Arabidopsis thaliana: one gene and its partners. The protein of the gene in region 4 interacts with the protein of the main gene of each other region in a biochemical or structural test. Each region holds a gene or a part of one and is shown on either strand. Other genes may lie near its edges.

Region 1 (7,008 bases), on a different chromosome or scaffold from region 4:
CACTTATTTGTTAAATTTAACATGTTAAATTGTTAACTCTTAAATTTCAAACGTAGTAAAATAATTTTGGATCTTTTTTTTTTTAACATGTAATGGCAAACACATAAAAATAAAATATTGAGGTTCAAAACAATAACAAACTTATTGATCCATCTCACTACATATTAACAACAATCCATTCTTATTTTTAAAACAGATGTTCGACAACAAGAGCTTCACGATCGCGGCTCTATCAGTACTTGTCAGCTCGCTATTGACACCGATCGCGATAGAATTCATGTACGAACCACAACATATCTTTAGTAGTTACCGAGATAGGAACATGTTAACCTTGAAACATGACTCTAAGCTGAAGACCCTTGTGTGTATTCACAAGCCTGACCACATAACATCCATGGTCAACTTTGTGGAACTTTTTAACCCAACACAAGAATCAAAATTAGAATGCAATGTTCTTCACCTTGTGGAGCTCATAGGTCAGGCCATTCCTACCTTCATTTCCCACAAGATGCAAAAGCCGAAGGTTGGAACACGCTCTTGCTCCCGCAATGTCATAACTGCATTCTTAAGCCTTCGTAGACATTTAACCAAAGAGGCAATTTCCATTGACATCTTTACATCTGCTAGCTTGGTAGAGCACATGCACGAGGACCTCTGTTGGCTTGCCCTTGACAAGAATGTAGCTCTCGTTGTACTTCCTTTTCACCGTTCTTGGTCTGTTGACCGCTCAACCATTGTCTCTGACGACAAGGCCATGCAGAATCTCAACCACAAAGTCTTGAAAAGAGCGTCTTGCTCTGTTGGAATCTTCGTCTACCGGAAACCTTTATGGGAATCTCAAATGCACGGCTCATGTTACAAGGTACTTGTTTTTTTTCTTTTGTAATTAAGAGATCTCATGGTTAATTTTTGGGGTCGTCTGGCTTCCAACTCAAAACAAACCGACGATTAGTATATTTGGCCCATGTTTTTTCTATACTAGTGTTGGTACCTACACATTTCTTCCGATGTGTGATCTTAACAAGTTCTAAACTGGTCTCGTGGTTTGTATTTCAGGTGTGTGCAATAGTTGTGGGAGGGAAAGACGATAAAGAAGCCTTAGCATTCACCAACCGTATGAGGAGAAACAAGCAGACAAGCGTAACCATCTTACACCTCATACCTCAACTTACTACCGAGGAAAGCGAAGACTCGGTGCAGAAGTTGGATTACGATGACATAAAAGAGATAATGAAGACTGAGGATTCAAATGAAAATGATTCATGGATATGTATAGAAAAAAGCGTCAAAGAAGGGGCTGAGACTTCAGTGATACTTAGATCAATAGCGTATGATTATGATTTGTTTATAGTTGGAAGAAGTAGCGGAATGAATAGCGCAGTTACAAAAGGATTAAATGAATGGACAGAGTTCGAGGAACTTGGAGCCCTCGGAGATGTTATAGCGTCAAAGGAGTTTCCTTCAAGGGCATCTGTCTTGGTCTTGCAACAGCAACAATATTAGAATCTTTTTGTTTTACCATGTTATGAATATCCAAAGCACAAATTAGGTTCCTAGAGTTGAGTCGGCGATCCATATAGGTCGTCTGTACTGCTTTCTCGGGGTTAAAATTCTTTATTCTTTTACCAATCAAACAGAGAACAATACATAGAATCAAGATGTGAATGGTCTTGCAACAACAAAGCAATAATACAGCCAATGAACCAAAACGTGATATATCAAAGCAAAAGAAACTTAAGACTTGAGACTATAAACAAAACATAAATATTACTTCATTTAACCATACAATTTGTCGCTAAATTACTATATAACATGGTGTTTATTCAATAGAGAATCAACAATCTCGGTTACATCATCACTAGAATAGAAATTAGAGCCCTGGAAGTTATGAAACATGTAAGAAAGGTACACAATCAATATAGTGCAGAACCGGATTTGACTCACGTTAGAGCAAGCGTTATAGAATCAAGTAAATGACTTGATGAATTCAAAACCTTGATTTAAAAGTGATCCAGTGATCCACAGCTTCAGGTTAGGCAAGTTTAAGCTCTGTTCGAAGCATGTCCCCTGTTTCCACCACACAAGAAAACTCGGTAAGTAAACGGTATACTCGGAAACAAAACAAAGTAAAAGGGCACAAGTTGATTTACATCTAAGGTATATGTTAAGAGGTATGTGTCCGGAGAAGGAGAGCTTAGGTTAGAGTTCTGCACTTGGAAACTTGTAAGAGACTCCAAAGACTTGTAAAGAGATGGAGCAACACCTTCTCCTTTGTTACACACCAATCTCACATAAAACCCTTTCTCCTCCACTTGTATAACATCCATCTAACACAACAAAACATACAAACTTTAAACACTTTGATGTTTCAAGAAGATTGATTGGTTTTTTTAGGTTATTACCTGAATGATTTTTTTGGAAGCAGGAGGATTGATACCGCGAAAAGGTTGAGTCTTTTGAGCATCAGGAGCATGTTCTTGGTACCCTCCAGTAGAGTTTAAAGAAGCTTCAAGACCCGCGATATCGGATTTGAGTTTCTTCGCTTGTGACTGAAGTTCTTGAACATACAACACTGCATCTCCAACAATGGATGCTTTATCCATCTAAATGCCAACACACACATACTTCATCAATATTTACAGTTTCATTAGTCATTACCAAATCTTGAAAATGTTGTGACTTACCTTAGTAATATTGGGAACAAGAGATCTCAATGCATAAAGCTTATCCTTCATACGCCCTCTCCTTCTTCTCTCAGAGATCAAAGTCCTAGACCGATCAGTCTTCGTCTTACGGGTCCCATCATTATTCGTAGTAGTGGCTGAAGAATCATCACCGTCGTTGTAATCTTCTTCATCTTCTTCACCACCGGCTCTAACACTATCACCGTCGAAGCTACGGAATGATTCAGCAACGTTGGAGTCTAAGTCAGGCAATTCGTCGAAGAGGTCATCGACAGGTGTTGGGATGAACTGGTTCTCGTCTATGAAACAGGGGCTGTTTTGTAATGGACCAAGATCGAAATCAAGAACTGGGTTTTCGTCAATGGTTTGATGATCTCCTCTTATGAGGTTTATGAACTGATCGAAGTTTGGATCGACCAAGAAATTGTGAAGTTCGAGATCGTTTATGTTTGACAGAGCGTTGACTCTTCCTTCCATTTGTGTGTTTTTGTCAATGAAGAAAAGTTGTTGACAACGAAAGAGAGACAAAATGAGTTTATATAATAGAGTGAGTATGAAATAAACTGTATTAATTAACATAATAAGTTAAGAAATCAATTAAAACAAATTTAAAGAAATGTACTCTTGATAGTTGGTTGATATTAGTTTATTCAGTTACGTCTTGTAATGTCATGCATGACCTGTATATTATATGTATAAATTATGTTACTCGAATGATTAATTTGTCGTGTTGCATGACAATTATATTTCCACATTGTTCTTCTTTATATTTTATCATTTGAATTTTTTTTTGTGGTGGAGGGAATGCAGATTAGAAACAAGAGTATATGTTGATCAAAAAAAAAAAAAAATATATATAGAAATAACACACATTTTTGGTCATGTCTTTATTGGGAGAAGTTTTTTAAAATTATACTACTTTCCAAAAATATCATTTTTATCCATTTTCAAAAATACCACAAATATTTAGAGTTTTTTAAAGTTATAAAATATACCAAAAATATTACTATATAATTTAGTTTATGAATACATTATTATGAGTTTTGGTTATTAAGACCTTATATAGGCATATAGCATGTATATTAAGCTCATAATATATCCTGTTACTATATAATTTAGTTTATGAATATATATGAGTTTTGGTTATATAAATAAATAAATCGATCAGACCGTATTAAAAAGGTGTTCATAAGTAAAAGTTTACTACGATATTAGACGTACAAATGTTAGTGTACTGTTTATATTTTTGAATTTAGATCCACATATATTCTTGTTTATTAAAATGTTAGGAATTAATTTGCAATCGGCTTATTACAACTGTAGATGTCAACTGGTTTAGTTGTCACAAGCTAGAATTTTAACAAAAGTTTTTCTCAACATTTTTATGTTAGTGTATTTAAAAAGTACTCCAATATGATAAATATGTTTTGTAGAAAAACGGCCAAAATTAATTTCAAATATAAACTTAAACCAGCATAATTTTCAAATAACAAACCAACTCTGGAATATAATAGCATTTCAATTATTTTCTTTTATTTTTGATAAATGCATTTCCATTTTTCAAATCATTTAAGGATAAACCGCAATTAAATTATGAAGAAGCCTGTTCAATGCACGGTTTTCGTTCTTGTCTCAACAAACAAACAAAGGATAGCAAAGAAAGACAGTATAAAATATTAAAGTCTTGGCCGGTTAGGACAAAAATCAACTCTTTATAATATTTCAAGTTGGAATATTTTTTCAGGTATATAACTGTAAAAAAAAAAAAAAAAAAAAAGTCAACCAATTATAGATTCCATCTAGGTGTTGAATTTATTAGAGAAACTGAACTTTTGAGCAACATTGGATTTTTGGGATACTCCACAACTTTCAAAAACATCAACCAATTTCCAAATAAATATTTGAATAATGCTATTATGTCAATTTAGTAGATGTTTGGTTAGATCGTGGCTGTAAATTTCGGTCTGTAATGTTTCTGATATAATCTTATTTTTGCTGTAAAATTTTTTTTCACATATAGCCTCTAGAGTTTAAAACAAATAAAAATTGTTGTAAAAACAATTCATGAATATGGCATACTTTGGTTCAAATATATTTGATACATGTGAAGCTAGCATAATTTTTACTGAAATTCTTCCTATTTCGTTTTTTTTTTGCCACATGATTATCTTTCAGTACTCCAACAAATATGACAACTCTTTTTCTTTTCTTCACTAATTGACATTTGGAACAAATACAATTTTGCTGTACCTATCACATCTTTAGAAACATAACTCTGAATAAGTCACAAACTTATGAAGCAAAATATTTTGACAAACTTTTTTCTTTTTTCCTTTTCTTTTTCCTCTAACCTTTATGCATGTCAACTAGCAGATAACTTTTAATTTGTTCACCCCAACAAAAATGGGGAAAATATGAAAACTCCTTTTCTTCTCTATACAGACATGGAACAAATTCAATTTTTATGTGACTTATCAGCACATCTTTAGAAACACAACAGCGGATAAGTCATGACTCATGAACATCAATAAAGTATTGTGTCAGATTTTCAGATAACCGTAACTATCGGTTACAATTTTGAAAACCGAAATGGCATGGATTCACTAATAAAACCAAACCTACCAATGACCACACCAATCAGTAAACAATGACCACACCAATCAGTAACAGTGGTCCATCCATCTTCTTCTCATCTCACATCACATCAAAACATTAATACCTTTTGTTACCAAACTTTTTTTTCTCAATTTACTTACACCTTTTCTCTGCCCAATACCAACATTTAGTGCTCTCTCTGAAATCTTTCTATCCTTTTTATGAAACTTTTTTGCCATTTCTCTTTTTCTCATTCCACCTTTCTAGATTTACAATCAAAATGGAGAAAGTTGCCGCCACAATACAAACCAGCAAAAGGGTCTTTTTAGATTTCAAATTTTTCAAAAAACACGCCTCCTAAACTTGGTTAAGGCTCTTCTGAAGGCACTTTCGATTCGATTCTAACTCGTGCTCCTGAAGCAAGCCTGTTCAAGATACATACAAGATTTAATAAACCTGATATGAATCAAGATAAGATATGTTCATATCAATATATTGAACAAGATTCAAGATGTTTATGTTTCACCTTTCGTCGATCTTGATAACTCTCTCCTCGTCTTCTCTGAATGAATCGGGCTTCCTTAAAGACTCGGTTATTCTTTTACTGCAAGCATCATGTGTTTTAGTGGTACATGGAATGTTCTTGGTAGTATCTTCTGATGAGTCTCTTCTCTTTTCGGAGACAAGTGGTTGTTGCTTCCCTAGAATAGAAGACGCCTTTCTTGAGCTTGGATTATTTTTAGAACTATCCGGTTTTGAGTCTCCATTCTCTGCTACACCCATTTGGTTGGATGCCCTGAAAAAACTCACATGAGATGTGTCCTCAAGAATTCACAGAGACTAAGTATACTACTCAAATCAAGAACCTTTCCAATCACATATTATGACCCTAACAAACCAAAGATAGCTTGTTGTAATTTTAGTGGGAAACTAAAGGCAGAGACTTTTTTTTTAAGCTGTGATTTTGGCACAAGAACACAAGAACTGTCTTAACATCAAAACATAACACAACATCCAACAATCACTAGCAGGAGTGTTTTTCAGAAATGTACCTGTCACCATTGTAGGATGAAGAACGCTTAAGAGAAGCGTTACTATCCGCTGCATCCTTCTTCTGTAGCTTAGTCTCCACTAAGCTCCCACTAAAATACTCTTTCTCCTCCATCCTCAGGCCCATTAGACTCGGAGTTTCCGACAAACGGTCAAGATCTCCCATCATAAACGACGAGGAGAAAAAAGGAGACGGAAACTTCGAGTGTCCAAATTTCGGTTTGTAAGTAGGTACAAGGCCGAAATTGTTATCCTTGACTGATATTGAACCACAAGATATCAACTGCATCAGCATATTCGAGGCCCTAAGCCTCGGAATAGCGGGCATTCGAACATCTTCTTGTTCAAGAATCCTAAAACTATTCATCTTACTAACATCAGCTCTTATTAGAGACTCCAAAGTATCAGTCTTTCCTCCTAGCGAAGAAGCACTATTGGAAAAAGGCGGCGAGACAGAGTTTCTTGATATTTCCGCACTCTCCCTCTCCTTCCCCGCACACGAAGCCTCACTCACGAGGTTATTCTCGCTGGTTTCAGGCTCTGATGACACATCTTCATCAGTTGATACACCTCTACTAAAAGTCTCTATAGGTGTTTTAGAACGACCACTCACAGTTTCATCGGTTTGAGTAGAAGCATCTGCGAGTCCCTCGCTCTTATACACTTTGTACTCAGCCAA
Region 2 (7,594 bases), on a different chromosome or scaffold from region 4:
CCTCCGCCATGAAAGTAGACGAGTAGTGGGATTTTCTTCTCGCCGGTTTCATAGACGGAATTTTGAGGGAGGTAAATGCGGAGAGAGAGGTTTTTCTCCGGTGAATAGACGGCATCTTTAGATACGACGCCGTTTTCGGGATTTAGTGACGGTGGGACGAATGTTTCGGGTACGAGGCGTTCGATGCCACCGTTCTTGAATATACGAAACCTCGGAGAATAGTCGAATGCGATTTCGGAATCCATTAGAGATTAATGATGATTAGGAAAGAATTAAGAGTTGATTTTGGTGTTTATGCGATTTATTTATATGAATGATCTCTACGAGACTACGACTACTCTGAACTCTCTATAGTTTTGGTTTGGTTTAGATGTCACGTTGTTCTTTAGTTGTTGACATGTTGTTAAACCTACCTACTAACTCATAATTCACGGGTTTGAATTTGAATCATAAAATATGAGATTAGTAGGTAACAAGTAAACAAATGAAAACAAAACACACCTACTTACCTGATAGGTAGATTTATCAAGATATAATTTAGAGTATTTGATAGTATGGTTCGTCAACAAAAATTATTGTTCTTACAAAATTAGTTACATACGAAACTAATTTTGAGATAACCCATAGCAAGGGGATTTAGACAGGCGACAATAACTAGTAGAAAAACAGACTATAACGAATACTAACAATAATTGATCACTAATCAATACATACAAATATATGAAGTTTCCTAATCATTGAGTAGTTTGTATCTTAAATCAAAAAGCATGAAGATAGGAGCTTTTATATCTTGTCTTGAAGCAACGTCGTCAAAAGAATTTCTTGGTACGGCTTGAGGGTGGTTAGCATTCATATTTCAGCTGCTAAACCGAGCCACGACATGTTGCCTGTGGTTTGAGGGTTTGAAGACGCTTTGGCTGGATCGCATAATTGGTATGGTGCCTTTGACGTAACTCTGTCCTTTCTCTTCTCCAAGAACCGGTGAAGTGAAGCTCTTCTAGCAATAGGAAGTTCTGTCAATGGTGTTGGGGAGGATTGGATTGGCTCTTGTGTTGTGGTTTTTCTTGGATGAGGAACTTGGTTTGCGATAGTAGCGATGTTGCTTCTGATATCGGTTTGATTCTTGGCTAAGCTATTAGCGGTGCCTTTGCTCGCCAAGTTGATCACTTCTTTGGCTTTCTCAGCAGAAAAGTCATTGAATACAATCACTTGCCCGGCGTAGAATATAGTCAATGGTGCAGTTTGAGACTCTGGTTTCACAGATCTGGTAGTCTGTGTCATTTTCAAAACATCTTCCTTTGGAAGAGAGGAAGATGAGGAAGAAAAGCTTGGTTGCCTAGGAAACAGATTCGTCGGTTTAACATCTTGAACCATGGAATCCATGTTAGAAGCTTCACAAGGGAATAAACTCATGGTTGTTGTCGGCTGACGTGAGTTGCCTAAAGTTCCTGCAAATATATATGATCCAAAAGTTAGAACTCTCTCCAATCATTTTCTATGTCAAAATTTAGCAAACTAACTCTCCCTAATTTCTTTGAAATCGATTCAAAATTTTCTTGAAAAGTTTTCAAGATCAAGATTCAAGAAATAAAAAACAGAGAAAACGAAAAAAGAAGTGGATCTAGGAGAAAGAGAAGGTTTCTTACCATTGACATCAGGCTTGCATGCCATTCCTAAGCTCAGATCTCCAAAGCTACCGTTCTCTTTTAGATACTGACTCAATCGACTACACGTCTGTGAGAAGCTAGGCTTCTTCCCAGTAAATCTCCGGCTACCGACGAACTCAGAACATTCCATAGAACTCGACATCTTTAACAATTAAAACTTTCAAACGGCAAGAGTTTCTCGAATAGCTAAATCGATACAAAGTAATCTCAAATCTTTTTCTTCTTCTTCTTGTTGTTGCTGTTGCTTCTCTGCAAATTGCGTTTGTCACGAGAGGGAGAAATGGAAGGTCTCTATAAAACTTTGTTTGGCTTTGGGGTTGGTTGGTTTGGTTGCAGAGTTCTTCTTCCTACCTCCAATATAACAAAGCTATATATTAATAGTTTAATAAATACTACTACTTTACTTATGGTATAAAAAACACGTGTTTTATTTTGTTTCTTTAGAAAAATCGGGAATGTGTCTCGGTTCACTGTTCTCCACGTTCTGACGCTTTCCGTTTCTTTGAAATTACGAGTTTGCCCTCCTTCACGAGCCTAATTTATCCATTGGTTGTTTGTTGGTAAGAATAAAGTCAAATAAAACACAAGATGCATGTAATGATGTAAAGAGAAGAGAGGTTACATTTTATCTCTAATCTTTATTATCAACGTAACGTAGGCATAATTCTCGTCGTGATTTTGGTGCTGTTTTTTTTTATCGGATATGTTAACAAGAAATTAATCAACCTAAACACGTCTAAAAAGTACTTAATATTTCTAATTAAAATAAAATAAAATCTTTTTGTATAAATAAGAAGCAAAACGCGTTAGAACCAGTCAACAGTCAAAGCCTAAACTCTTTCACATTTTTAAATGCTCTTCATTGAGACTAAATAATCTTACAATTATAATTGAAATCTAATATGATATTATACTCGAAACATTTTAAAACTTACTATTATAAGTATATTAACGCGTGATTCATGCAGAGAGACAAGCTAAGAATTGTCTAATATCTAGAAAGAAATAAATTAAAATATAAAGTCTGCTAGTTGTCGAGTTGGAATAAAAATGAGGCACAAGCTAAAAGTCATACATCAAAGTCAACCCACATGTCGACCGTCACAATTGATAAAATGCCATGAACCATATGATAATTTGATTGAATAATCAAAAGATTACACGTAACGAAAGTAATGCTTGGCACCTAAAAATCAATAATACAAACTGAGACCTAATTAAATGGTCGTCAATATAAAAATGGACATATTAAAATATATTAAGATATCCAAAAGCAAAAGAGAGACTAATCCATATATCAAGGGTGTTATCGTCCAAGCGGGAAAGTAAACGGCGTTAGTGAGTGGTCCCCTAAAGAAGACAACTCCACCACCCACATGTTCCGTCGACCACGTTTTTGTTGTTATGCGTTTTTTGAACAATATCAATATTTAACGAAAAAAAGAAGCAAAGAAGAAGGAAACTACAAGGAAAGAAGGTTGGCAAGTGCACGTTGTCTGTACCTATTCGATATGACACGTGTTTTATCATGGTTGGTTCGTTTTTCTACGCGTGGAGAGATTCTTGTATTTCAGTATCCAGGGCTCTTATACGCTGCTACGCGACCTATAGAGTTCTAATGTGATTTTATCACCTAAACGGCTAAAGTTGATCTCTACAGCTGCTTTCTCAAAGTAGACCAAGCCAAAGCTCAGATATTTGGAACCCTATACATGCAAATCGATCACAAAATATCTAAAACCTTAAAACATGAAACAAACTCCAAAACCTTACTTTTATGTATAGGCTTCAGCTTCACCTATACGTTGATGTCATGTTTCATTGTAGGCTATACATAATAAAACGACTAAGAGATAGATCTGTAATTGTAACTTGGTGTATAATATACACATTAATGTTTAATTAGACTTGGATAATGCGACACAATTATATTAAATTAATCAGTAAACAAAGTACGTGACAAAGTATTATAATATGGACTCGATCGACACAATTCAGAAGAAAAAGTCGTCCCATACTGATACAACGAGTCTTTCTTTTACATAATTGACAGAAACTTTATTGGTGCAAGATTAGATATATAAAATTCAAGATATATTTCACTAATTAAAAAACTCAACTAGTTTTGAGTTTATTGGTTAGAAGTTGGAACGTACTATAAGATATGAAATGTGGGCTATGGAGCCTATAAAAGTAGATATGATTAGATTAAACGAGAAAGATCGTCAAACTCGTGGGAAATGCGTGTACGTAGTGGTTGGGAAGGAATACAGATCCGCGATGCAAGTTGAGTAACGTGTCCAAATATATATACTTTTACAACTATTCATGCATTAGTTGAGTTTACCATTAATTTACGACTCTTAATTTATTGTATGATTATAGTATATTGTTTAGTCCTTGTTAATGATAAACCAACATTGTAGAGACTTGTAATGTCTAATATATTATACAGGTGCAAGCCTATCTGTTCGTTTAGGGTTTTATTTTCTTAGAGTAAGGTAATACTTACAAAATTTACATGGTTGACTTTGCTAAGCATAGATTGATACGTAGCCACGTTGTATAGTTTTTATTTGTTTAACAAATACTTATGTAACAATCAATGATACAATCATACACAAGTTTTGAACAATATGCACATGAATATCTAGAAATGTTCAAACAATATTATTCTACAATTTCTTTTTGTTTCATGTAAAGGTACGCATGCGTTTGTTAGCCTTTCGAAAATAAATATTAAAATTTATAAATGTTAAAAAAGAAGGAAAACTATTACTCCACATGGGTCGTGAGTCGTGACCATTATTGGAGTCGTCGGTGTTCTGCAGAATATACATATATAAATGTTCGAAACTGTGCTAATTAACTTTAGTAGTGCGAACATGCTTCTCGTGACATTAAATTAAGATTTTTATATAAAACTAGATATTTTGAATAGTTTATCTTATTTCATGTTGGTGTTTGGTTTTCGTGCTAGGTCAAAATGTGAGTTGGGTCAATCAAAAACCACATTCTCGCGATTGGTTTTTTGGCCGGAGTTGGCTATCAAAACCTAGCCGAGCGATTTGGCGTGTGAGCTCCGAGTCTAAGGTGTGAGTCCGCTTTGGAAGGGATCATGAACCAACCTGGTTCACTGAATATGCCGATATTATCATGTGTCATGCGTTAACATGCGAGTTTAGTAATTGAGTCGAATACAACAACACGTGCTTTCAATATTAATAACCTCAACATGGAGATTTTGATTTTTCTAAGCATTCTACTGCAAAACTATGAACCTCAACAACATTTATGAGTTTGAGTTCTGTATTCATCCAAATTTTATTCTTTAATTCGATCAATAAAGCAACTTAACTCCTTTGTTCTAATATATTGCTTGTTCATCAACGAATTATCTTTAGTTGACCTATTTGTGATAAATATTTATATTTATTACTTTAATTAAAATTACAACTATTTATCAGAATGAGAAAACCCCAACGACGAAGAGAAATGGTCCAAAGAAAAATAATTTTCATTTTTGTGTCCCAAAATTTACTTTTATGTACACAAATGACAATGAACTGAAAAAACATTCAAATGTCGTAGTCAATGTCCGCCACATTGGACTCAGCTGCAGGCTTAACCAGACGACCTTCCTCGTCGTAAACATCAAAATTCTCGCAAGGTCGAGGAAATATCGAACCGAACACTCGTCCTTTCACGAACGAACATTGGAATATATGTTTCTTCTTGTACGTTAACCCAACGGACATGTCCCGAAACGTCACATTCCTTACCGGAATCTGTTCGCTTCCATGGATCCGGACCGGCACTCGCACTCCTTGTCCGTGGATTCCCGCGAAACTGAATCCCGAAAGTATCGGGTATGCTTTCCGATCATAATTATCGTCTGCATGCTCGTTGTAATCCGTTTTGATCACTATCCCAACCCGAACATTGTCTAGTGTTAGGTTTTTGTAGGTTATGTTTCTGATGTAACCGCCTCGTCCTGGAGCCGTTTTAATTCTGATTCCACGGCGTGAGTTCCAGATCAGAAGGTTCTCGATCGTCACATTAGATATTCCACCAGACATTTCGCTTCCGATTGATACACCAGCACTGTCAAAACATATAGAACACTTTCATTCTTTTGCTTTAAAAGAAAACGTTTTCAAAGTTTTGCGGTGTAAGATGAGAAATGAGAAAATACTTTACCTGATAACAGAGCGAACAACGAGATTACGAATAAGAATGTTTGTTGAAGGTCGTCCATATGCAATCCCAAACTGATCCCATCCACTCTTTATCGCGATCGCATCATCCCCGGTGCTAATGTAACAGTCCTCAATTACCATATCCTCGCACGAATCTGTTTACGGAAATAAACAAGATGGTTCAAAACGTTTTAAATGAGTACAGAATAACCGGAAAACAGATATAAGCGGTAAATGAACATACCTGGATCAATTCCATCAGTGTTTGGTGCTCCGGTTACAGGAGCCAAGATGGTGACATTCCTTATTGTTACATTTTTGCAGTCATATGGATGCAGAGTCCAGAACGGTGAGTCACGCATTGTAATGTTAGCGATAACTATGTCACTAGACCACATAATTTGAACTAAAGGCCCTCTCGTATAGTTGAGAAGTCTTCTTTGATGCTTCTTCCACCACGATTGTCCTTGCCCGTTTATTGTTCCATTATGACCTGTTCCTTATACCCCTTAGTTACTAACACGGTTACCACAATTTCACAAACATGAACTCGAAAGAGGAAAACCACTAACCAGTTATCACAATATCTTTGAGGTTTTGACCATGGATTAAGCTCCCATAACGAGGTCCCGGACGCTCTCTACCGTAACCATATGAAGGCAATGGTGGCATTAAAGGCCAATACTTCTCATCCTGACAATTAAAGTGACACGTTAAGTAAACAAGACGCACACATCCATCACGCAAAGTCTCAAAATCTCCTAAATTATGTTCCTTCACACAACAAGCAAACACAGTCATTTGTACTCTAACTTGGCTAGAGTGAGTGACCTGTAACCTACAAATCTAATGTTCCAAGCTTAGTGGTGCTTAAATTTCTGCAATTCTGACCTAAACAGAGCTAAAGAGTCTGACTTTCAGTAAACAATTACCAATCAATCTTTTGCATTCGTTTCATTGTTTCGAAATGAAAGCAAAACAAGAGGAAATCAAAACATTTTACAAACCTCAACACCAAGAATCTCGGAATCCTCTGCGAGAAACAGAGTCATATGGCTAGTGAGATTAAACGGCGCCGTAAGCCACCGTCCAGGCGGCACATTCAGCTGACCTCCGCCGCTACTTCCCCCAAGCTTAGAGATTGAAATCACAGCTCTCTCGAATGCTTCAGTGTTAAGCGTAAACCCATCTCCAACACCTCCAAAATCCTTCAAATCAAACACCACAGGTCTCAATCGGGGAATTGGCTGAATCGGTTTGATCTTACCGAAAATTGTGAACTTTCCTCCGACAGGACCAGTTCCAGAGCCGCCTTCGATGTAAGCCGTTCGCTGCCATAGAAAGACGGAACCAAAGGCAGTGATCCAGAGAAATGTGAAGAGTGTTTTGTGAGAAGCAAGGAGAGAAGTAAGACGACGCTTCGGGTCAAGTCTCTGAAGATGAAATTGAAATCGAGAAGGAAACAAATTCTCCACCATGATTCGATTAACGAGGAACTAGAAACATTGAGGTTCTGGTTTTGCCACAGATCTAGCCGAGAAATAGTGAATTAGAAGCAAAGATCCGTCATGAGAGTTGCAAAGTCTGTGTCAGAAGCTGGTGAAGAGAGTTTGGTGTGTGCACGATCCGATTCGATTGAGTAATCGAACCAAACCGGTAAGTTAAACAACCGGTTTAGTTTGGTTCAACCATTTAGCCAATCATCTTTTTCGACGTTTTCGTCTTTAG
Region 3 (8,914 bases), on a different chromosome or scaffold from region 4:
AGAAAAATTTCAAGTCTATATGATCGTGTATTTGTGTCTGCATGTTTCAAAATCATTGAAAAGACCCTTCCTAAAAAGTAAGCGAATCCAAAATTGTATGTAAATTTATATACATATGTATATATATGAACATATGTTATTATAATTATGAATAAATTATTGCTACTTAGGAACTCAATCAACAAAAGATACATAGATTGAGGCGCTTCTACAAGGTCATCCTAGTCACTTATTAACCTAACATATGTAACACATTGTATAAGCTATTCGAGCATGCCAAATCAATCAAGATCATTATATCATGTTCGACGATCTATCGAAAGTGTACACCAATTGATGATTCTCTATTTCTCTAAATCTAAGAATAACTCGAATTGGTCACATACAAATTTGGATCAGGTAACAGATATATTTTTATTTCATGCAGTTAGGAAATAACATATGGGAAATTTATATCTTACGTTCCACATTGTTCCCGAATCCCGACTAATGTCCCTCTCTTTCAACAAGGTGATAGTAAGATCTTCATTTAATCAACCCGACTCTCTACTTAAAAAATTTCAACCATTTTCTCTAAGAAGTCAGAACACTCCATCATCCCCATTCTAAGCTCAACATAACAACATAACAAGAAAACTGTCATCTTTGTTATCTCATTTCTCGAAGTAAGGGGGGAAATCTCTATATTTATCCCACTAATTATTCATTACTTAGTGGGATATTGTTGTTTTCTAGTGGCGTCACCCCCAAAGTCGACATGAAATATGATATCACGAATCACCTAGCCAAAACTTAGTGTAACATCTTCTCATAATTTTCTTATAGTAAACATGTTCAAAAGTCGACTCACAACCACCAGACAATGGTTTGGTTGTTTTCTGTTTGTTGAATCGTTCATTGACGAGTTCACCCAATACAGATGTCTCAGAAAATTATATTCAAAAGTTATTTTGGTTGTTATTTACAAAAAATGGTATACTAGATCCCAAAATTATTTTACTATTTATTGTTGGTAAAATACTCTTTAGTTTAATATGGTTTTAATAAGAAAAATCAACCGGAGTATCATTAATCTGAACGTATAAAGACATATCATTGAGTTTATCACAAGACAACGTAAATCTACAAGAACACAATAACATAAGTTTAGTGTTTTGTTAGTAAGAATTTGTCTTCGCAAGATAGAATTTTAGAAGTATATATATATATATATATATATACTATTTTATCTTAATTCTTTTTGTTTTATTTTTGGTTTTTAGGTAAGGGTTAGGAGTAATGGGACCATATTGGTGGCATGCTAAATTATTGTGATAAATTTATGCATGGAGGAAAAGATGCCAAATGATTTATGTTATTCACTCATACTCACCTAATGACCTAATCCTTGAATTATTGTTCGAACTTTAAAAATAAAATTTTAATATTGTAAATTAAACAAACAATATAACGTTGTTAGCATGTGTTTATCGTGAAATGTGAATGTAACTAAAAATATTATAAAGGAGTTCTTCCTTTCTTAAAGCATATGCTAATAATAGCGTTTGGTCAAATTAATAAATTATTAGTTTATTTAGTCGTCAACAAATTAATTAGTTAAGCAGACAAGAATCGTTTTTGGAGATAGAGATTCTCACTTGCATTTCACTCTCTTGCAATTTAACATATTAAGACAAACACAAATTTTTGCTTTAGTGAATTATTAGCAACGACTCACGTTATATAGATATGCAAATCTCAAAATTAATTAAGCTAAGACACAGTATTTGATAATTGAGATTACAAATCTTAAATTTTGATTTTTAATATTTTAAAATAACATTATAAAATAAGTAATTAATCTGTTATAAAAAATATATTCTAAAAGTTGACAAAACGACAAATATAAATCGAAAAAATAGGTGAAAAGTTATAGTAAAGTGTTTTTCCACTGAGCTCACAGTTCACTCTTTGGTACAAAAGAAACAATCAGTTAAAATCTAAGTCAATCATTAAAGAGCGTGTGATACACGTGCGACCAAACAGCCGTACGATCTCACTCACTTCCGGTCTTAATTCTTACCGCGTCGATCCAACAGTCGATGGGGTTAAATCGGGATGTGAGTTCATCGAAGCTTCTCTCTCTCTTACAACCATCCACGTTTCCCAATGAAATCTCGCCACGTAATATCCCTAACAACAAATTTACACATTCACCCTCAAGATCAGTTACACATATAATAATCGCAGACGCTCTCCATTTTTCTCCACTACGAAGACTTTCTCCTATCTCTCTCTCTCTCATTAAAAACGTGTTTTTTTTTACCGGTCACCGGTTTATGGAATGACTGATTACCGGCTACAACCAACGATGAATCTTTGGACCACCGACGACAACGCTTCTATGATGGAAGCTTTCATGAGCTCTTCCGATATCTCAACTTTATGGCCTCCGGCGTCGACGACAACCACGACGGCGACGACTGAAACAACTCCGACGCCGGCGATGGAGATTCCGGCACAGGCGGGATTTAATCAAGAGACTCTTCAGCAACGTTTACAAGCTTTGATTGAAGGAACACACGAAGGTTGGACCTACGCTATATTCTGGCAACCGTCGTATGATTTCTCCGGCGCCTCCGTGCTCGGATGGGGAGATGGTTATTACAAAGGTGAAGAAGATAAAGCAAACCCGAGACGGAGATCGAGTTCGCCGCCGTTTTCTACTCCGGCGGATCAGGAGTACAGGAAAAAAGTGTTGAGAGAGCTTAACTCGTTGATCTCCGGTGGTGTTGCTCCGTCGGATGACGCTGTTGATGAGGAGGTGACGGATACGGAATGGTTTTTCTTGGTTTCGATGACGCAGAGCTTCGCTTGCGGTGCGGGATTAGCTGGTAAAGCGTTTGCAACGGGTAACGCGGTTTGGGTTTCCGGGTCAGATCAATTATCCGGGTCGGGTTGTGAACGGGCTAAGCAAGGAGGAGTGTTTGGGATGCATACTATTGCGTGTATTCCTTCGGCGAACGGAGTTGTGGAAGTCGGGTCAACGGAGCCGATCCGACAGAGTTCGGACCTTATTAACAAGGTTCGAATTCTTTTCAATTTCGACGGCGGAGCTGGAGATTTATCGGGTCTTAATTGGAATCTTGACCCGGATCAAGGTGAGAACGACCCGTCTATGTGGATTAATGACCCGATTGGAACACCTGGATCTAACGAACCGGGTAACGGAGCTCCAAGTTCTAGCTCCCAGCTTTTTTCAAAGTCTATTCAGTTTGAGAACGGTAGCTCAAGCACAATAACCGAAAACCCGAATCTGGATCCGACTCCGAGTCCGGTTCATTCTCAGACCCAGAATCCGAAATTCAATAACACTTTCTCCCGAGAACTTAATTTTTCGACGTCAAGTTCTACTTTAGTGAAACCAAGATCCGGCGAGATATTAAACTTCGGCGATGAAGGTAAACGAAGCTCCGGAAACCCGGATCCAAGTTCTTATTCGGGTCAAACACAATTCGAAAACAAAAGAAAGAGGTCGATGGTTTTGAACGAAGATAAAGTTCTATCATTCGGAGATAAAACCGCCGGAGAATCAGATCACTCCGATCTAGAAGCTTCCGTCGTGAAAGAAGTAGCAGTAGAGAAACGTCCAAAGAAACGAGGAAGAAAGCCAGCAAACGGTAGAGAAGAGCCACTAAACCACGTCGAAGCAGAGAGACAAAGACGCGAGAAACTAAACCAAAGATTCTACGCGTTACGAGCGGTTGTACCAAACGTTTCAAAAATGGATAAAGCTTCGTTACTCGGTGACGCAATCGCTTACATCAACGAGCTTAAATCCAAAGTAGTCAAAACAGAGTCAGAGAAACTCCAAATCAAGAACCAGCTCGAGGAAGTGAAACTCGAGCTCGCCGGAAGAAAAGCGAGTGCTAGTGGAGGAGATATGTCGTCTTCGTGTTCTTCGATTAAACCGGTGGGGATGGAGATTGAAGTGAAGATAATTGGTTGGGACGCAATGATTAGAGTTGAATCTAGTAAGAGGAATCATCCGGCGGCGAGGTTGATGTCGGCGTTGATGGATTTGGAGTTGGAAGTGAATCACGCGAGTATGTCGGTGGTTAACGATTTGATGATTCAACAAGCGACGGTGAAGATGGGTTTTAGGATCTATACGCAAGAACAGCTCAGAGCAAGTTTGATTTCAAAAATCGGTTAAAAGGGTGTGTTTTGGGAAGTTTAGAAAGTTATGGGGTCAAATCATAATTAATTCGTTTTAGTGGCTTCAGTAATTTTGTAGATTTTAGTTTTGTAAGAAAAAAATCTTAAAATAGAGCGACAAGTTTCTTCTTTTGCTCTATGTTTGAGTCTGTATCGTTTTATTGTTGTATCTCCTCAATGAGTAAACTTGTATATATTGATATGAGTAATATGAGTTAGTTACTGAAAAAGTTAATATTTCTACACAATTTCATATGATAAAAAAGAAAAAGAAATCGAGTATAAATGGTCTAAAATAAGAGACTAATGGTCATGATCACTGATTTTGTACATATGGTCAAAAATGTCTCTCCTAACACATCAAACTTAGGAAGAGAGACAAATCTTAAGTAAGTTAAGTCGAGAGGGAGACCATATGCACAGTTTTCTTAAGTCAGTGTGATAATGTTTCCTCTTGTCTAATCAATAAGACACAACACACATAAACCTTAGTATAATACTACATGGATCTTCGAATACACAGACAGAGTCACAGACAAGAAAAAGCAAATCACTTGCTTTTGTCTTGATCATTTCCAATATCTACAAAAATAGAAATCTTGAAGAGATTATTGAATCTGAAATCTGCTTTGTTTGTGCATTCTCTTCCTCGATCACCTCGCAAGATCCTCTAGCAACCTGACCAATCCTCAAGAATCAAGTTTTCTTCTTTCTAGCTTCAGCTTTCCAATCTCGACGATGCGGCCTTATCTTCCGTTTAACCGACTCACAAGAACTATCTTGAGCCTTGTTCATAATCAAATGAGCTCTTCTAGCTTCTTTTTTCCAATTTCTATCGCAATAAACCCGCCGCACAAAGTTCTCAACATAACCACTAGGTCCATTAAACTCTAGTCCCTCGTCTTCTTCTTCTTCTTCTTCTTGTTTTCCCATTGTCTCAAACGAAAGATTATCATCGTTACCCGCTTCTTCTTCCCGCATCCGTTTCCTGGCTCGATACCTACGTTGTCTTTCTCTGTTCTTCATTCGACGGATCATGACTTCATCTTTGTCTATCAACCCTTCTTTCTCATCAATGCTCAAACCACCATTGCTCATCTTTCCTTCAATTCCAATTACTCAAAACACTGATAAAACAAACCAAATTCTATTATAAGGTAATGCATTTAAAGGAAAGAATCTAAAGCTCTATAAAACCCTAGAAGCTTCTTAATTCAAAAGCTGAAGACACAAAACACACACAAATGTAATTTTGCAACTAGAGGAGGACCAAATTAGAGATTCGTTAATAGCAATCAACCAGAAATGTAAGACTTCCAAAGAATCAAAATTAGCTAATCGATACAACTAAAAATGTTATTTTGCTTTGCTTTCAAGTTGAGAAAACAGAGAAGTTCGATACTCAAAGAACCTGAATGATTAATTCGATGATTAGGTTAAGAGGCTAAAACCCATATATTACCAATCTCAGTGATTGATTTACGAGAAGAGAAATCCAAAAAAAACAAAATCAATAAAGGTCATACCTTTGAAGCTTCAGTGAACAAAGAAACTAAATTTGCGATTGCCCGACTCGGTTCTCTTCTTGCTCGAGTGGTTTTGGAGATTTATGAACGAGAAAGAGAGAGATTGTTCTTTGTTCTGACTATAGATTGATGAAAGGAGGTACCTTTCTCCCAGACAGAACATATGACCGAGACCTTGTAGGAACATTTTAGGTTTCATTAGTTATATCTGAATTAAGCTAACAAAATGGGGTGGTGGCGCAGTTGGCTAGCGCGTAGGTCTCATAGCTACTGAGTGATCCTGAGGTCGAGAGTTCGAGCCTCTCTCACCCCATTTCTCATTTTTCTTTGTTTTTGACCATTTCACTAAAACTCCATCCATTGATGAAAATTAGGGCTTTGTCTTCAATTTTTCTTTCGCTCTGCTGAGAGACCTGACCTAAATCACGGGTTTAGGATCCTGTGGATTCGATTTTCTTCAGGTGAAAGGCTTTTCTTCTCATTATCATTGTTTCTCCGACCAATTTAGTGGATAAAGACGTAATGTGATTGTTGCGTTCGATTTCAGATGCGACTGATTCGGTTTTAGATGCATAAGTGGATAATGGGTATTCTAGATTCAGTAATTGAGGTTTCATAGCTGTTAAAGATTAAGTTTTTGGCTGATACAGGACAATATCTGATCCTGTAACTGTTACTTACTCTGTTCCTCTTTGAAGCTTAAGGTTTTAGATCAGAATTTGTGAGTTTAGTCTCTCTTGTTTGAGATGGATAGGACTTGTTGGTATTATGATCAGTTAGGTGTGAATAAGATTGGGAAGAACATAAAGAAGAGTCCTTTACCACAACCACAAGGTTATAGCATGAGCAACAATGATTTTACAAGTATTGTTCAACAGCTTACGGATTCTCCGTCGCGTGAGAGTTTACCTCAGCCTCTTCCTCGGAATCTGTTGAAGCCTCAGCAGAAGATTAGACCAGTGGGTCAAATACAGATAAACCGGCCCTGTGTTCCTCCTCCTGTAATGGCTCAACCTACTCATGAGTTTGTTGCTAGACCTCCAATGCATCCTTTGCCACATGGTTCACAACCAATTATCAGTCATGGAGACCAGTTTGGGTCTAATACAGCTGAGTCTTCTGTCTCGGTGTATATGCGTTATCGTCAAAGCTCACTTGGAGATTCTGGACCTAATGAAAACCAAATGCAGCCATCTCATGACAATCAACAGCAGCCACAGGTGGAAGGTCAAGCTCAATCGCATAATCATCATTCGCCACGGTTCAATGATTCTGCACGAAACACACCCATTTTGCCAACTCCTAAGTTCGACGGTCCGCCACAACAGATGCATAATAATAGTCTTCCTTCTCCTCGATTCAACGGTCGAGGGATATTACCTACTCCAACGTCCCAATATCGTCCACAATCTCCAACTGCTTACCGGAATTTGCTCTCCCCTAGGTCACCTTCTCCGCTGCTGTCTACAGGAGTTCAATATCCTCCACCACTAACACCAAGAAACTATACATTCTCATCAATGGATCAACCTGGAATTCTCGGTCCGGGCACAATTCCTCTGCCTCATGCATCTCCGTTTGGGGTTATACCAATATCTAGTCAAAGATGGAGAGGTTACTAAGATGCTCCATCTTCTTCACTTGACTCTTAGGTTAGTGTCTCTCTACTATCAAAGGTGCAATCTTTCGGAGCTTATAGGTTACAGCAGTACAGAGCTGTTAAAACACTACTTTATTGTGCCTTTGAGAATACGAAAGATCTTAAAGTTGAGCAATTCGCTATAAAATAAGGAGTTAGTGTTTAGTAGTTTCATATATTTTCATAAGGAGTTACATAAGTTTAGTCATACATCCCAACACTTTCAAATGACTAGAAAATAAAACTTCAATGAACTCGTTTTGTTCCTTATTGTACACAAAAACATTGTCCTCTTCTTCTTTACTACGACATCGCACCACTACAAAGACTTCATCGTTTTTTGCTATGCATACAAACCTAATATCAACGGGTTCGTCATCGTTTCCCGCTACATTCATCCACGGGTCGCTATCCCATCTCGCAATCTTCTTGCCGCTTCTAATTTCTCGTCGACATACACATAAATTGTCATCTACACTTGGGTAGTGATTGATAACACATAGTTCTCCCCTTGAAACATCTAACCATGAATTGAACTCCAATCCTGATAGCATCATCGGAACGTTTAGTTTTGAGTACTCTTCATTAACGAAATCAAAGCATAAGATGAATTTTTCTTTGTTGAACCGGTTTGCTATCCAATACATACAATTGTCGACAACCGTACCGGTCCTCTCTTTGAAGAAGCAATCACTAGAGGGAATTAGTTTGCTTTCTCTCCAAGAACTTTCTTTGAACGTAAAGATATAGGTTTTCTTGTCGATAATCGTCACAATTTTGTAATCATCTAAAACCCGGTCATAACCGAATCCCAAAAGATTTTGGGTTTGACCCCGTTTAATCATCGGTACTCTCTTGAATTTTGTTGAAGTAGGTTTCCAAATAGCTAACTCATTGTTGTCTTTGCGGGTGAGACATATCACTCCACGGCAAGAAAGAATACAGACTGGTTCAGTTTGGGCCGGTAATGTAAAGGGCACGTTTAGCTTCAAAGACGTGGTTTCATTAAGGTCTAGAAGGTATAAACCATCTTTGTGCAATGAAATGAGCTGAGATGATTGTTTATTCGACATTAGAAAATTGATCAAAACAGATATATTTTGGTTATTGTCCGGGAAAAAGATATGTCTTATGACTATATATGGACAACGAAGTTTTATTGAGAGCGTGATTACATAGTTATTGCATCATAATTTTCTGTATAACATCAATGTCGACATATAATACGTATCCACACTTTTCATTGTACCTACGATACGTATGTCAATGCACCGTTAACGTCAGTGGTATCTACTTTGTCAAAACGTTATACAAATTCATATCACCAATTACCAAAGATACTTTCGATATCAGTATTATATTACTCATGTCGTTATAATTTCCTTAAAAGGAAAGTTAAAGTTTGTTCGATGGAAACATATTCTTGTCTTAAACAATGATATCATACGCAAAAGACATATTAAATGGGAAAAATCTTACAAAATATGAATTTAAGGTGTTAAATGAATCTACATAATACATGATATCTCTTAATCTATTTTATTTCTTTTGT
Region 4 (8,605 bases):
CAATAAGTTAAAATATTATCGATATTGTCGAATAAGGTATACCAATTCCATATCCTAACATTAAGCACTAGTAAATGAGAGAAAGAAAACTCACATTGTTGTACAACCACATGATACCAAAACCGTGGAACAGACCGTAAACCCAAGATCCTTCCACTTCATTGACACTTGTGTATTTTCATCAGCATCAATTCTTAAAGAAGTTTTGCCAAACCCATTGATCAAGGCATTAACAAACTCAGCTGGAGAAACACCACCATGAGCTGATTGCGATTTCACCGATGAAACCACACTATTCGTTAAATCCAAAAGCGCCTCCGCATCAGCAATCTGCTCTCTAGGCTTCCGAACTGCAATAAAAATGTAAAAGCACCAAAAAAAGATATCATCAGTGAATAAAATTATCCTTGCTACAACTAAAATACACAACATAAGAACTAAGAACAGTTTTTAGGTTCATCCAAAATAAGAAACATCTACTAGTTTAAGACTTAGGAATATATATATAAACGAATTGGGACAAGTTTACATTTACCTTTCTGGTGCAAATTCTCAACCTCATTAATGATACTGTTGAACTTGTTAGAATCAATTTTTGTCAAGTCATCTTTAGCATCTGTACCAAAAAAAAGTTAGGTCAGAAAAAAAACCCTAAAAAAAACCCTAAAGTAGAAGAAATAGAATGTAACCTTTGATCTTGTGGGTAAGAGCAAGATACTGAGATCTTATAGCTCTCCGATCAGCAATTCCTTGTTCTTCTTCTTCCTGAATCGGCGGTTGTTGAGGCCGTAATGAAGCAATTACGGTCTTACTACGCTTCTCCTTCTTTACGATCTTTGGTGTCTCCGAGGACTCATCGGCTTCTCTTCTCCTGCTGCGATCTCCGGTTAATTCCGTTTCCCATTTCACCGAGTTTCTCATGATGATTTTAGAAAAAAATCATCTGAGAGACGGAAAGGAAAAAGGTGAAACGAAGAGATTATAAAAATAAGAAAGAAACCCTAACGGCGGCGAGAAGACGAAGAGACGTCGATAAATTTCCCGCCAACGTCGAAGTCTCTGCTATATATTTATTGGAGTATATTTTTTGTTGACTTTTTTGCCTAAAGATTAGGTTTCGGTTGACTATCCTCTGAACTAATAAATACTTGGTTAACTCAGGCTGAGCTATGTTCTGCTGCTCTAATGGTTGGTCATGATTCATGAGATTTTACTTCCCTTGGGTAATTACAATTATGTTTCAAGGAACATGTGGATCCTTGATACCCTGTGTGAAAAGTTGCGTCAAGGTCCAAGTTTGCGAGTGGCTCGCTATTTCATAGTTGTGAGATTAATTGATGCATGAAATGATTTACGTGTTTAAAGGGTGCGAAGAGATCAAACCGGAAGTGTTTGACACAAGACACAAACTTTGGAAGTGGCGCCACAATCCCACTATATTTATCTCTGTCTCAATAGAGAGAAAGATCTTATATTCTAGGAGTTATGGACAAGTGAAGTGATAGTTTATGATCCAAGAGATGGTACATGCATGTGAGCACTATTGCAATAAAGATGTTCGATGTGTGTGTGATAGATTATGTGATTTATGTATATAACTCTAGCTCCTCTTGGGTTTATGTGGTATGACTTTAAGGAGAAGGATTGGAGACTTGTTAATGGTTTGAAGCTTGACAAGTATTTGTGCTATCAAAATCTCAATGGCTGAATTAATATATATAAACCATAATATGGACAAAAAAAATTGAAATAGATAAATATTAAACATATGAATATTGTTCAATTAAAAAGACAATCAGGAAAAAGGTATTTAAGAATACCTCACATGTAAGGTCCTTTTTTTTTCTTCTTTCTTTTTTTTGGTGTTTGGTTTGGAAATGTGTGCTCGAGCACTCGACCTCGTGAACACAAGCACTGACCCATGCTTAAATGTTACCAACGAGCCACAAGCGACGAGAACGTTAACAATCAAATATGATTATTATTATCATGTTCCTATTGTAATAATAGTAACCTCTCCAAGCCGTTTCAAATAAGGATTTGCGTCATTGCGTGAGTAAAGAAGATAGAAACAGATATAAAAACAAATTTAGTTTAATGATCAATCAAAACTTAAAATCTAATCTAGGACCATTTTATAATTACAAACAAAAAATGAAATATATATTGTTCAAAAAAAAAGGTATTTAAGAATACCTTACATCTAAGATCTTATTTTGTTTTTCTTCTTGTTTTGTGTTCGGATTGGATTGTGTGTGCTCGATCACTCGAGCTCGTAGACACAAGCATTGACCCATGCTTAAATGCTACCCACGAGCCACTAGCGATAAGCACGTTATCCATCAAATACAATTGTAATAAATAATTATCCCACCATTCCCTAACTTTGAGGTAGTTAGCGTGAATTACACCAAACTTTTCAATTGTAAAAGTCAAACTCAACAAAAACACACAGAAGAAGAGAGCTTGCAAATATATTTATATTATGAAAACTTACATTTAGTGTTCGTTCATCCCCAAGTCGGGTGTGTAACTAAAAGCTGATGATGACAGAGAGATTCACCAAGCCGAGACAAAGACACACAGTAACAGAGAGTTTTTAGAGACTCTTACAGACACATCATAACAAGCGATAGAGACAGAGAGACCCAGGAAAAAATATTACATGGTTGAGTGAATGTAAGAACACAAAAGATAAAAATAAGAGAAGATGAAATCTACTACCAAGACTTTAGAACCATATGGATACATCTTGCTGCTTCTGCTGCATTCCATCCATCGTTCCTACTACTCCTGGCATCGACATATCATCTCTGTAATCGAATGACGCCATGTCGAACGGTGTGGAATCAAACACAAGCTGGAACCTGTTGCCGCTACTGTTATTGTTGTTGTTATGTGCAGCTTCAAAGTTGTTGTGATCTGCAGTGTCGAACTTAAACACATTGTTGTTGTTGTTGTTCCCTTGAAAAAACGTTTGATTGTTGCTGCTGTTGTTGTTGTTTGCTCTGTTTGGGATGTTCAAGTCTTCAAAGAAACTTCCTTCCACCATGTTTCCTGGGAACTGGAGATGTTCTTGATGGTTATGGACTGTGGGTTGAAGCAGTGACACGCTTTGATTTTCCATGACCATAGAGGTTTGGTTGCTCTGGACATTTCTGTCGTACATGGACATGAGCTCTGAGATCATCTTCTGTCCATCTTCAGGAACTATACCCGTTAAGTCAATTGGTTGGGCTACTGAGTTCACTGGCCTTGGCTGAGGAAATCCAACTACAGGCTTAACTTCATTGACATGAAACCTGGATGGTGCTGCTCCATACGGTAAGCGACTGTCTCGATGTGGACATGCCAGTTGATGGTTGTCTCTCGAATTCCTATCCAGAAATCCCCGGCTGATTTCGCTGTGCGCACACCCAAGATTCTCGCAGGTGAAAACGGTTCTGTCCATAATAGTGTTCAGATCTCTGTTTGGCTTTCTCTTTCTCATGAATTCCGAGTTTCCTGCTGGGACTTCTTCTTTGACAGGAAAGTCATGCATTTTAGCAACCATCCCAAAGTTTGAAGAATTCATAACTTTTTCTGGCTTGAGCTCTTCCACTTCATAGTGAGACTCCTTCTCGAAACCTTCAACATCGTATTGACTGCAATCATTCATCAGAAGCGAGCAACTTCCACCAGACAGAGAAAGAGGTGGACATGACTCGGGATAAAGCTCTCTAGCCAAGGACTCTTCTTGGTTAATAATAGCAAGCCAGGTAGCACTCTCTTTAGCAGTCATCTTATCCTGCAAACATTTAGATTGCCTCACGAGCTTACGGATCTTAGCAATATCAGGAAACATATGCTTGATAACCGCAGTCAAAACGCCGACTTTCCACGCCTTCTTCAAATCATGAGGCTTCTTGTAAGGTGCAGGACCTTGATCTTTAGGCAAACCAAGTTGAGGCCACCAATCCTCTTTCCCATTAGGCCACCACGGAGGAGGAACTCCTTTCTCCAAAGGAAAACGTCTCTGAGGAGGATCACAGTGTTGCATCAACGCAGACAAAAGCGATCCAAGAGTCGTGTCTTGAAGCTCTTGCAAGGTATGAGGAGTCGGTCCAATCGGGTTATTACCTTCATGAATCCCCGGGATATTATTCTCCGCTTGATACTTGGTAATAGCCGCAGGACCATTACGATCAAACCTAACCTTATCTTTCCACCACTCCCTTAAATTATCAGAAGCACCAGTCACAGGCTTCCCATTCTCCGGAATAATCCCATAAACAAAGCCTTGAGCTTTACAAACTTCCATCATCTTCAACATATACTTCAAGATCCCATCTTGAGCTCTAGACATTTTCTTCCTCCTAGCTTGCTCTTGAGACTGCCTCTGTTTAGCAGCATCAACACCTTCTTTACCCTTATCCTGCTCCTTGAGACGTTTAAGCCGCATTTTGTCTCTCCACATCCTCCTCTCCAATTCATCAACATCAATCTCATCATCAGTATAGTCATCTTCAACAATGGAATCAGGCTCAGCTTGTGGAACAGGACAGAAATCAACTTCACCAAGTGATCCAGAAGAGAAGAAATCCATGTTTCCACACATTCCCATCTCATTAAACATCATTGTAACCTGTAACAAATCAAATACACAAACAAAACTAATCAGTACAATTATATTTCTTCTGAATCAAACAACTTACTAAAAAAAATCATCAAACCCTAAATTATAAAAAAGGGGCTTTTCGAATTCAATCAAAGTTTTAAGTAATAAACACATAATCAGATCGTATTTTAATCACTCCTAAACTAAATAATCAATCGGATAATAAAAATTATCAACAGATTCAATTTCCAAAAAAAGGATGAGATCTTCAACATAGGAACCAAATATAGAAAGGATCATATATGAATAAGAAAGAGAAAACATTTTCAAATAGATCAACGATTTATAAACAATAAACAAAAATTCAACCAAAAAAAAAACTAAAAGTAGCATAAACTCATGAAATTAGATCGTGTAAACACTAGTAAACTAAAGTAAAACCATCGATCTAGTAAAACCCTATGAATAAACCTATCATCATCTTCAGTATCAATAATAACCCTAAAAAATCAATAGAAGAAGAAGCGTATAGTACCTGGAGAAATGAACAGCAGAAGAAGAAGGAGAATAAAAATGATGAAGAAAAAGGTCTCTGCCTTTTCTATGGTGATGGGAAAAAGAAGGAGAAGATAATAAACCCTAGTTTCATCAAAAGAACTTCGACAAAAGTTAGAGATACGAGATGAGGAAGAGGAAGAAGAAGAAGAAGAAGAAAAGTCGACGAAAGATCACGTGGCTAGAAAGCGACTTTTGTTTATTTGCGTTTCTTTGTGGAGTCTCTCTGTAGATCAGGAAGATAGATCATAGTATATATACTCTATTTATATATATATATATATGTTTAGATATATAATATACATATATATCATTTTAATTTCATTTCTTACACATAAAATTTAAGACATCATTTATTATTATTATTACACAATTAATATGTAATTAACAAAGCGCCTTTTGGCAATACTCACTGCTCTTCGTTTGTTTTTTTATTTTATTTTATTTTACGCGGTATGTAATTAATTGTTTCTTACGCGGAGTTTTATTTATTGTTGTGCTACGTTTTTTATTTTCATTTTTGGAATAATGGGTTTTAGAAAAGAAAAGATCCATTATCCATACCTCTCATTAAAATCGGTAGAGAGAAAAAAAAACGCACACTTTTTTTACAATTATATTTTATTACAAGTAGAAAAAGTTTCGTCATCATCGACAACTATTATCGATTATGACAAATCTGTTCTCAAGAGGTGAGAAAACTATTTTAATAAAAGTTTTCATGCTTCTTGATTGTTTTGTTTATTAATTATTATCACGTTCTTCGACACATTTGTTGAAACTAACCAAACATAGTGTTAAATTTTATGTCTTCTTTTTTCCACTTTTCAAGTGTTTGTCTTAAAATATCCCAAAAAACACTGAAAGAAAAGAATTGACTAATAGAGAGATGCAAATATGTTTTACAACATGAGCCTGAAGACAAAAGTTGGACTATGAAGATCTATGAAGTTGGATTTGTTGGGATCTAAGTGTTGGAGATATATATTTTCTCTGGGTTCTTCACTTACTCCACTTTGTGTTGCATACTCTAATGCCATCTCGTAGTCCACCTGAAACCACCACATATATTCAGCAAGAATGACTTAAAAGTGATGATGCAGTAGAAACTTATGCTGAGAAGTGATTGATGCAAAAAAAAAAAAGACCTGTTCTACATGCTCAGCTAGCTTTTCTTTCAATGTTTCTTTTGTGATTATCTGTTTAGATACTTTATCAAGCATAACTATGTCTTCCTCTCCGTAACGTTTTCTCTTTGTTTTATGTTCTTCTGTCATTTGTTTTAGAACCTCGTACACTGCCCCCGTTGCATCGGGGATGTATCTGCAAGCATTTCCAGTTTTGGTTATCTTTTTTTTCAGGGTTGGAGCATAAAATGGGAAGGACACTGATTATCTTTTTTACCTGCTCAAACTGCGTTTTCGCTCTTGTTGTTCACGGGCTTGCAGTCTCTTGACTATTTTGGATTTCAGTTGGATGCAGCATTGTTGAATTGCAGACTGATGGAAATAAAGGCGGAAAGTTAGATTTAATAAGATGTGGGATAACGTCAGAAAAATCTTTTCTTAATGTTACCTTGACTGCAGTAGCTATCTCACTGATGTCATCTCCTATGTACTCTTTCCCTGTCCCTTTGAATGGAATTTTTGTACTCACTATGCTCACAAATACTCCTATTTTATCTTGCGTCTGGTTGATCTTATAACTATTCCAACTGCAATGTTTTGAAAATACTCATTAATAAAAAAAAGTTGGAGAAAGATACCAACTATAACGATATACAGAGAGGAATACAGCAAGCTAAAGAAAGAGTCTCACTTGATTCTTTTTAAGGCCGTCCTGGTGACAACATCAGCTCCTTGTTCAAAAAGGAGAGGAATACGGTTTGCAAAACGGAATATGTTGATCCCCTGCCATTTCAGTTCCAGCAAATTCCCAAAATAACCCATTAGATAGTAGAAGAGTGAGATCGACAAAAGATAAAGAGCAATGGTTATGGTGGATTCATGCTCATACTTAGAGCAACCTTAAATCTATGAGAACTTGATGACACATGAATAAACAAAAGGAGGATATGACTTGCCTGTTTCACGTCTCTTCCACCCAAACTAACACCAGCTTCAACAATGAAAGGATGACCTTCGAAGACCTGAGCACTAAACATAGTTTCCAGGAAGAAGTCAACACTTGATGAAACAAAGCTCAGATTAACGACAAAGTAGGTAAAGCTTGACATATGAGATTACTATAAGAAAAATAAACTCCATATCTAAATCAGATGAATTCGTAGAAAAGAGGGTTGCAGTGACAACCTGCCGGAATACGTTGCCACCATATCTGGATGTAGCTCCTTAATAATCCCTAGACGAAGATTGTATTCTCCTGCTGGGCTAAGACACTACAGAAGAAAACCGCAGTATGAATAGAGCTAATTTTCGAAACAATACAGATGCTCTAACTTGAAATTTTATAAGACCCTCGAGAGAGATATAGAGATAATAAAGCAGTTCCCAGTGAACCTTAGAGAGAAAGTAGCTGCTTACATCACCACTAGGGTCGTCGAATTTAGCTTGGCGGAATAACTGATGTATGCGTACCATTTGCTGAGATGTCACAGATTTGACAGCCATGCTAGGCCCGAAATCAGGTCCCATTTCCCCTGAAAGAAAGAAAACAAGAATACTTATGACTGAATTTGACTAAAGAGATAGCACAGGCTTAGTAAATATAAAAGGCATGGATGATTTTCTCAGAATAATAACCAGCAAAATGAAGCAGAAAATTGCCATTCAGAATCAGCAAACATTTTTAGTGAATATAATAATCCGTCTAATCCATCAGGACATGTGATACAGAATTTCTTAATTGGATATCAGATCATTTCCATTGGCCAAGTAAAAGTACTGCCAAATGTGATGTGAGGGGGAATATTAAACAACTTCAAACTTATGTAACAAATGAGATTGATGTCATATTACCAATTAATCGTGCTGCAAGGGTTTTGTTAATATTCACAAATTCATTTTGAAGAAACTGCAGAAGGGTCTTTTTGGAAGTGTCTGTAATAAGGCGCTTGATAAGCAGCAAGTCAACTGACGATGGATGGTGCTTTGTCTCGATAGGAATAGGGGGCATCACATCCGTTCTTCGAGTAAACTTAATAGTGACATTTTTCCTACATGAAAAGAAGATTTAAAAACCCGATAATGCTGCACATAAAGAGCTATGTGACAGAGCAGCAAAAAAACAGAAAGATAGTGATCTTACTCTGGTGTCTCTGATATAAATCTAAACAGAAACTGCGCATAAGGAGTAATGACAGCCATTTGGCGCATATAGTGCAAGATCTTTGACTGGATACAACAAAAAAATAAAATGTGTTAAACAAGTTTGCGTGCATATATGTCTAATGAACACTTAAGAAATAATATACAGCAGAAGGACGAGCTAGAC

What was found.
Region 1: the proteins of EIN3 (region 4) and FRU form a complex in vitro, tested with the Arabidopsis thaliana proteins (one study listed by BioGRID).
Region 2: the proteins of EIN3 (region 4) and JAZ1 form a complex in vitro, tested with the Arabidopsis thaliana proteins (one study listed by BioGRID).
Region 3: the proteins of EIN3 (region 4) and MYC2 form a complex in vitro, tested with the Arabidopsis thaliana proteins (one study listed by BioGRID).

The regions. Positions count from the first base shown.
Region 1 is NC_003071.7:12,000,866-12,007,873, reverse strand, and holds FRU (FER-like regulator of iron uptake), read right to left. Parts: upstream 3,217-7,008; 5' UTR 3,162-3,216; coding exon 2,685-3,161; intron 2,604-2,684; coding exon 2,403-2,603; intron 2,328-2,402; coding exon 2,151-2,327; intron 2,068-2,150; coding exon 1,966-2,067; 3' UTR 1,879-1,965; coding exon of another isoform or gene 1,871-1,878; 3' UTR 1,598-1,870; downstream 1-1,597. Other genes in the region: ATCHX7 (Cation/hydrogen exchanger family protein), read left to right, coding at 197-862, 1,057-1,503; AT2G28150 (UPSTREAM OF FLC protein (DUF966)), read right to left, coding at 5,647-5,704, 5,806-6,075, 6,332-7,008. UniProt on the Arabidopsis thaliana protein: Transcription factor. Essential protein involved in iron uptake responses. Regulates FRO2 at the level of mRNA accumulation and IRT1 at the level of protein accumulation. Confers enhanced iron mobilization responses at low iron supply.
Region 2 is NC_003070.9:6,616,527-6,624,120, reverse strand, and holds JAZ1 (jasmonate-zim-domain protein 1), read right to left. Parts: upstream 2,345-7,594; 5' UTR 2,290-2,344; intron 2,202-2,289; 5' UTR 1,810-2,201; coding exon 1,647-1,809; exon of another isoform or gene 1,449-1,646; coding exon 850-1,448; 3' UTR 501-849; downstream 1-500. Other genes in the region: AT1G19190 (alpha/beta-Hydrolases superfamily protein), read right to left, coding at 1-245; AT1G19170 (Pectin lyase-like superfamily protein), read right to left, coding at 5,246-5,771, 5,868-6,021, 6,111-6,359, 6,439-6,559, 6,874-7,344.
Region 3 is NC_003070.9:11,794,323-11,803,236, reverse strand, and holds MYC2 (Basic helix-loop-helix (bHLH) DNA-binding family protein), read left to right. Parts: upstream 1-1,829; 5' UTR 1,830-2,323; coding exon 2,324-4,195; 3' UTR 4,196-4,893; downstream 4,894-8,914. Other genes in the region: AT1G32630 (FAM50A-like protein), read right to left, coding at 4,894-5,295; AT1G32610 (hydroxyproline-rich glycoprotein family protein), read left to right, coding at 6,470-7,345; AT1G32600 (F-box associated ubiquitination effector family protein), read right to left, coding at 7,554-8,435.
Region 4 is NC_003074.8:7,257,971-7,266,575, forward strand, and holds EIN3 (Ethylene insensitive 3 family protein), read right to left. Parts: upstream 5,415-8,605; 5' UTR 5,133-5,414; intron 4,625-5,132; 5' UTR 4,619-4,624; coding exon 2,732-4,618; 3' UTR 2,459-2,731; downstream 1-2,458. Other genes in the region: AT3G20760 (Nse4, component of Smc5/6 DNA repair complex), read right to left, coding at 95-350, 536-616, 690-921; TOP6B (topoisomerase 6 subunit B), read right to left, coding at 6,055-6,204, 6,301-6,475, 6,557-6,651, 6,728-6,866, 6,971-7,062, 7,236-7,308, 7,465-7,550, 7,696-7,811 and 2 more. UniProt on the Arabidopsis thaliana protein: Transcription factor acting as a positive regulator in the ethylene response pathway, by promoting histone acetylation in an ENAP1-dependent manner, thus accelerating the expression of ethylene-responsive genes. Binds DNA.